2 linked regions of the Ovis aries genome follow. The protein of the gene in region 2 purifies or fractionates together with the protein of the main gene of each other region. This does not show direct contact. Links are inferred from orthologs where the notes say so. Each region holds a gene or a part of one and is shown on either strand. Other genes may lie near its edges.

Evidence for each region. The genes of interacting proteins can lie anywhere in the genome.
Region 1: the proteins of AURKA (region 2) and PPP6R2 purify together in Homo sapiens (affinity purification with mass spectrometry; 4 studies listed by BioGRID and IntAct, counting the BioPlex papers as one, with this or other methods). This does not show direct contact. The link is inferred for Ovis aries from reciprocal best matches to the Homo sapiens genes AURKA and PPP6R2.

What each region holds. Positions count from the first base shown.
Region 1 is NC_056056.1:225,612,905-225,616,651, reverse strand, and holds the start of PPP6R2 (serine/threonine-protein phosphatase 6 regulatory subunit 2), read right to left. Parts: upstream 2,577-3,747; 5' UTR 2,365-2,576; intron 1,577-2,364; exon of another isoform or gene 473-1,576; intron 1-472. UniProt on the Homo sapiens protein: Regulatory subunit of protein phosphatase 6 (PP6). May function as a scaffolding PP6 subunit. Involved in the PP6-mediated dephosphorylation of NFKBIE opposing its degradation in response to TNF-alpha.
Region 2 is NC_056066.1:59,223,830-59,227,476, reverse strand, and holds part of AURKA (aurora kinase A), read right to left. Parts: intron 2,579-3,647; coding exon 2,430-2,578; intron 326-2,429; coding exon 151-325; intron 15-150; coding exon 1-14. UniProt on the Homo sapiens protein: Mitotic serine/threonine kinase that contributes to the regulation of cell cycle progression.

The DNA of each region.
Region 1 (3,747 bases), on a different chromosome or scaffold from region 2:
TACATATATCCACAAAAGAATGTAAATAAACTTAGTGACTAGTTACAACAGCCAAAAGGTGAAACCAACCCAAATATCAATAAGAAAACTATTTTCACACAAAGGAATATTATTCAAATGAAAAGCACAACTACAGATAAAAGAATCAAAATCATTATATTTCAAAAATATACTGAGCAAAAGAAGACAGACACAGAGATTTCTCTGGTGGTCCAATGGCTAAGACTCCGCACCCCCAATGCGGGCAGCCTAGGCCCCGTCCCTGGTCAGGGAACTGGAGCACATGGGCCACAGCTGAGTTTGCACGCTGCCAACAGAAGATCTCGCACACCTCAACCAAGACCTGGCACAGCCAAACAGACCCACAGAGACGTGAAAGACTGTGTAGTATGCTTTCTGGCTCCATTTATATGATGCTGAAGGACCTGCAAAATTACTCTAAAAAATAGAAATCAGAATCGGGAATTGTTACCTTTCAATTTTGAAGGATGGCTTTAACAACGAAAAAGGCACACAAAGGAACTGCACTCCTCCCAACATCTTGTCTCTCCCTCTGGTATTCACATGTCGATGGCACTCCCCAACTCAACCTGCAGCCTGCGTCCCCTCACAACCCAGAGTCAACAGACTACAAACAAGAGACGACTGGAAGGCCAACGTTTTAACCAAGGCTCTGAGTGTCTCTCCCCTTTACCCTGGCCACACAGCAGTCTTATCCAGGTTCCTGGAGGAGGTCCAGGATCTTTGCATGTGCTGCCCCCTCAGTCCAGAAGGCTCTTCTTGCCTTCCAGGGTTTAGCTGACATTCAGTTCAGTCACTCAGTCGTGTCCGACTCTTTGCGACCCCATGAACTGCAGCACACCAGGCCTCCCTGTCCATCACCAACTCCCGGAGTTCACCCAAACTCTTGTCCATCGAGTCAGGGATGCCATCCAGCCATCTCATCCTCGGTCGTCCCCTTCTCCTCCTGCCCCCAATCCCTCCCAGCATCAGAGTCTTTTCCCATGAGTCAACTCTTCACATGAGGTGGCCAAAGTACTGGAGCTTCAGCTTCAGCATCGTTCCTTCCAAAGACATTAGAGAAGCCAAAACGGAAGGGACACGAAGAAGAGGTGAACAGCTGAGAGTGCCAGTGAGAACCCAGGCCCTGAGAAGCCAAGGGCAGGGCAGGAAGAGGCCACGGCAGGAGGCGAGCGAGTGACAGCCACTCAGCCGCGTCCAGCTCTGTACATTCCACGGGATTCTCCAGGCCAGAATACTGGAGGGGGCAGCGCTCCCCTTCTCCAGGGGCTTGTCCCCAGGGATCGAGCCCAGGGCTCCTGCACTGCAGGTGGATTCTTTACCAGCTGAGACACAAGGGAAGGGGGGAGATGACAGGTGGATAAGCGAGTAACAGGCTGGAGAAGGCCCTATGGACAAGGCAGGTGGACACAGGGAGAGAACGGGGCGGCGCAGCGCGGAACGCAGGAGCTACGTGGAAGCCACAGACTGGGCGAGCTGGTGGCGACAGGCCAGGGGGTCAGCAGCGAGGTGGGAGCAGTCAGGGACAAGTCTGCGGACGATGCAGGGCGTTAGGCTGTGAAGACACAAAGTGGAAGGGGGGTTGTATGGACCTCACAGTGATGGTGCGAGGACATTCACGGGGCCTGGAAAGTGCATAAGGGCCGCCCCAGGTGTGAAGGAGAGGTGGTGGGGAAGAAACGTGGCAGTGAGAGAGAAGTCGCTCCGTCGTGTCCGACTCTTTGCGACCCGTGGACTGTAGCCCACCAGGCTCCTCCGTCCACGGGAGTCTCCAGGCAAGAGCACCAGAGTGGGTTGCCATGAAGGAGTCAGCAGATGACGGGCGGAGAGACAGGCGACTGGAGAAACGGGAAGGGCACAGTGAGGGGGGAAGGGCGCAGACGACAGGGGGCTCCGGCGAGGGGAGCGCCCCGCGGCCGCGCGGGGCAGGCGGGGCGGGCCCTGAGCGGGACTCAGCCCCGGGGCACTGACGGGGCGCCCGGCCGGCAAGCGGGGCGCGGACTGCGCGGGCCCCGGCGGCGCCGGGGAAGGAAGGGCAGACACGCGCGACCGCCTGACGAGGGGGAGAGTCTCCGGGGCTCGCTGACGGCGGGCGGCGCCGGGGGGCGCGCCGGCGGGCGAGGACTGCGGCCCTGGGGCTCAGCGCGCTGGGGGGCGGGCGCCGGCGGCACGGCAGGCGGCGGCGGGCACGTGGAGAGGACGCGGACGGGGCGGGCGCCAGCGGCGGGCGCGGGCCCGGCGGACCCCGGCCGCGGGGCGCGGACAGGCCGGGCCTCACGGCGGCGGTGCCATGGGGACACCGGCGCGCGGGCCCCGCCGGCCCTCAGCCGCGGCCGCACTCACCTGCCCCGCGGGCCGGGCGTCGCGGCGGCTCCTCGGAGGCCCGGGTGGAGGCCAGGGACCGGGCGGAGGCGAAGCCCGGGCGGCCCGCGGCAGGCCGCGCGCACATGGGCCCGGCCGGGCGAGGCGCCCACAGACACTGCACCCACAGACCCGGCGCGGCCCGCCGGCGCCTCAGGACCGGCTCAGGCCGCGGGCCGCGCGCTGGCCGCTCCAAAATGGCGGTGGCGGCGGCCGGCCGCGCGCACGCCGGGGGCGGGGCCTCGCCTGGGGGTGGGGCGAGGCCTCCGTGTGGGTGTGGCGGGTGTGGGCGGGGCCGCGCGTGGTGGGCGGGGCCGCGCGTGGTGGGCGGGGCCGCGCGTGGTGGGCGGGGCCGCGGGGTCGGAGGGGCCTCTAGAAGTGGGGGCGTGGCTTCCCCTTCCTCTGCTCCCTCTAGGTAAACATCTCTTCCTCTGTCGTCCCCTTTCTCCTCCTGCCTTCAATCTTTCCCAGCATCAGGGTCTTTGCCAATAAGTCGGCTCTTCGCATCAGGTGACCAAAGTATTGGAGTTTCAGCCTCAACATCAGTCCTTCCAATGAACACCCAGGACTGATCTCCTTTAGGATGGACTGGTTGGATCTCCTGGCAGTCCCAAGGACTCTCAAGAGTCTTCTCCAACACCAGAGTTCAAAAGCATCAATTCTTTGGCCCTCAGCCTTCTTTATAGTCCAACTCTCGCACTCATACATGACTACTGGAAAAACCATAGCTTTGACTAGACAGACCTTTGTCAGTAAAGTGATTTCTCTGTTTTTTAGTATGTTGTCTAGGTTTGTCATAGCTTTCCTTCGAAGGAGCGTTTCTTTTCACTTCAAAATGAATCTGATCCCTGAGCTATGCCGAGCCTTGTCAGCAGAGGGTGCTGGAGAGGTTGCCAGAGAAGGTTTGCTCCAGGGCCGCTCCGCTGGCGTCAAGCGCCGCTTCCCCGGGGTCCCACATTTGCCTAGACAGCTCCTCCAGAACATCTTTCCCAGGTAGACCGCATGGTGGACCTCTGGCAAGCTCTGTAGGGTGATCGTTCAGGAAATGGGGGTTGAAAGCGTCAATCTTACAACCGAGAATAGATTATAAGCCCTGCAAGCGAAGGCCGCCCCCGCCCCCACCTCGGAGGCTGGAGGTGCACTAGGCAGTTTCAGAATAGGGGCCGGCGCTTGCGATGCTCGGGCTGGTTGTCCTCCTGTGAGAGCCGGCAACCCTCACCCTGATCATGATGCTCTTCTGCGGTCAGCTAGGACCCCTCTCCTCTCCCACCCACCCTGAGTTCCAGTCCCTCCACTTCTAACTGGAGCCCCTCTCCCCGAAGTCCTAGTCTTAGAACAGTCTCTGCCACCAAATTCACAGCAGCA
Region 2 (3,647 bases):
AATGTGAATTCCACCTGGATGAGTACACAATAAGTGACAAGAGTCACAACGTGGCTCAGAGAGAACACGAGAAACACTCAGATCATAGCCTCCTGTCAAGGCTGATAAGGAATTCTAACAACGACGGGTCCCTCTGTAGTGAGGCCTTACCCGTGATATTCTTCTGTAGGTCTCCTGGTATGTGTCTGCCTCAAAAGGAGGCTTCCCGACGAGGAACTCATAGCAAAGCACCCCAAGGCTCCAGAGGTCCACTTTCTCGTCGTGCATCCGGCCCTCAATCATCTCAGGGGGCAGGTAGTCCAGCGTGCCGCAGAGGGTGGTCCTCCTGAAAATACAGGCAGGCTCGGGTTGACGTGCTACTGTTTCTATTATCATGACAGCTGCTCAAAGGCACCAACCATTCCACTAACCCTGAGCGCTTTTCCTAGGCTAGCTCCTGTGCTACAAAGCAGGTGCTATTATAAACCCATTTTTAGATGGGGTGCTGTACCAGACCTCACAGTTAGCAATCATGTGGCACCCCAAATATGTCTAATTCCAGAACTTCCTTAAATGATATATAAGATTTAAAGTATCACCACTATAAAACTGTGTGAACAACTAGGGAAATTTGAACATGGACTAAATAGTAGATATTAACAAGACTAGGTTTCTTAGGTGTGATAATGGCTGTGATTATACAGGACAATGTCCTTAGCCTACTTACTGAAGCACTCAAAGGATGAAGCATGCTGTCTGTCACTTATTTTTTGAAGGTTAACCAAAACGTAGACACACTCAATGTGGTAAAATGTTAACAACTATTGGGAGTATAGGCACTGGATAGGCAGGTGATCAATTCAGCGTGTCTGTTTTTATAACAGAGGTTGGAAACAGACATCAAAACAGGAGCAAAGGCTAGGCAGATTTTGCTGCCTTGTACCAGTTACTCTTTGGTGCCACTGGTGCCTGGCAAGTGCACAAATGTTCGCTCACCTAAAGGAGCTGCCACCGCAGACTCCTAGCCTCTCACCACTGGATTCGGGAGAAGGCCCAGATCAAGAGCCTTGGAAGACAGCACAGTAACCTGAGAGCTCTTACAGCGAACCAGCTATGGGAAGCCGGGCCAAGTGACCAACATTTTATATGATATCCTCTTTAGAAAAGGATCAGCTAGCTTTCCTGTCGTGAGGACACCACTGGGCGGGCCAAGGTCCAGCTTAGCCCTGTGATCATACAGCCATTGCTGTTTGCCTCACCAGAGGCCAACAGCTCCCACTTGTGACAACCAGATTTTTTTCTCCCCTAAACAAAAAGAGACTGCAACAGCAGATTCAGTGCCTTGCTGGAAACAATTAGGAGTGATCTATATCAAAAACAAATCTCACACTCAACAGCATCCATTTGGGACTATACAGTTTTTTAAACTGGCTTTAAAGTAATCTGGTTACAATTTTTTAAAGACCTACCCCAAAGCTGACAAACTCTTAGCAGTAGATGTATGCTTTTAATTGCCCTACTTCACACATGGTTTCAAAAGCTCATTGAAACCCAACCTAAAAACAGGAGAAAATGTTTTAGCTCTGTTTGCAAAGTTCACTTAAATTGTTTCATAGGTTGGTCTCTCTGCTTTAAGAGGAGATAGGAAAGGACTGCTCTGTTGACAGAAGCAGACCAAAGAATCTTTACCCACCAGTCTGAAAGCTCCATCCAAACTAGTTTGGTTCCTTTAAGCTCCCAGTTCTAGAGCTCTGCAGGTGCTGCCCTCAGAACTCATAGAACTCGTGTCTCCTGGCCCTGGAGGCAGTGGAGTTTGCCTCCCCGTCAGTCAGGTGTTGTTCCCCCTCTACACACCGCATTTCATTCTGTGATACACTTGTCATATCTTTTACCTATTTGTCCCCTTCACTGGCCTCTAAGGATAGTATGCATCTTTAACCCCAGGTTGCTGCTGCTGTTAAGTTGCTTCAGTCGTGTCCGACTCTGTGCAACCCTATAGATGGCAGCCCACCAGCATTCTCCATCCCTGGGATTCTCCAGGCAAGAATACTGGAGTGGCTTGCCATTTCCTTCTCCAATGCATGAAAGTGAAAAGTCAAAGCGAAGTCGCTCAGTCAGGTCTGACTCTTAGCGACCTCATGGACTGCAGCCTACCAGGCTCCTCTGTCCATGGGATTTTCCAGGCAAGAGTACTGGAGTGGGGTGCCATTGCCTTCTCCGTAACCCCAGGATAAACATCCACAAATGGCTGCATAGTAAAAATGTTCTTGAAGACACTAGTTTCCTGCCAGGCCTAAATTACTCCAAAGCATGTATGTCAGTTACCTGACCCAACCGCCCACAACATCTATGCTTACATTTACTTACAGTAAATATTTTACTATTTAGCTCATTAGCCCCTAGGCTTTTACTAAACCAAACAAACAAGTTCCATCTCTGAAGTTATATACCTGGAGGATGGGGCATGTACCGACCACCCAAAATCGGCGATCTTAAGCTCTCCAGCTGATCCAAGGAGCAGGTTCTCTGGCTTAATGTCTCTGTGAATAACTCTCTTTGAATGACAGTAAGACAAGGCATTTGCCAATTCTGTGATATACTATTAAAACAAAAAGTATTGGAAATCCGTTTTAGATTTATATAACACAATTTTAGACATCTCTTCAGAAAGGAAACTCAACATAGATTTTAACATGTTCTGTAGATTTGAAAGCAAAAACTAGAGACAGTGGATGACTCTAGAAGAAAACAAACCAATTTAGTGTTCAGTGTGAAGTACAAGTGACTCTGTGCTAGGTTATCTGCTCACACAGCAGGTGCGACGCCGAAAGACAGCAGAACACCAAGGTACCACTACATCCCCACCTGGCAATTTATGGCCCAGAAGCCATGAATTATGACAATATTGAAAAACTGGTACAAATGAGGGAGTCGGGCCTGTAAACAATTTTTAAAATTCTTAAAAAAGAAAAACTTTATAGTCCATCCCCATTTTTAAAACTAAGGCAAAATTACAACAAAAGGGTTTGTTTGAAGCTATAAACTTAAGCAAGCCCAGGATTGGCTTTAACATGTAAATGAGAATTGTTTTCTAATATATTGAATATATTTAGTTCTGACTGACGTTTGAGAAGCGTTGGTTTCTCAAAAAGTAATTCTAAATAGGACTGAACATTATGTTATGCCAAAAAGGTTTACCAAATGAAGGGGTACAAACCAGATGTTATTGTCAGAAAGGACATTTTTCATTGCTTTCAGCCAAAAGGCAGAGACCAAAATTTAGACCATAAACTTAAATAAACCATAAATAAACTGAAAGCAAAGGTAAAGAAAGCTCGTCTCTTGCACCAAAGTGGGTGATGCTCGAAGAGGATACGGTAGGATTCCAGATGACAATGGGCTGCCCCTGCTCAAACCCGGCAGGAACCAGCGCTCTCTGCATCCACCCCCTCCACATACCCACATTAAGATTATGGATTATGTGTAAAGGTCCCTAACACTTCTCCAGAACTAGTTTTAATTAATCAGGAAAGAAAAACAGGTGTGTGTGTGTGTGTGTGTGTGTGCGCACGCACACGCGCACGTATAAACTACTAGGGAATCTAGAAAGAACCAATCTTTTACTTCCTTTCAAACAGCTATCCGTTTACACCAAAGTAAACTCCACT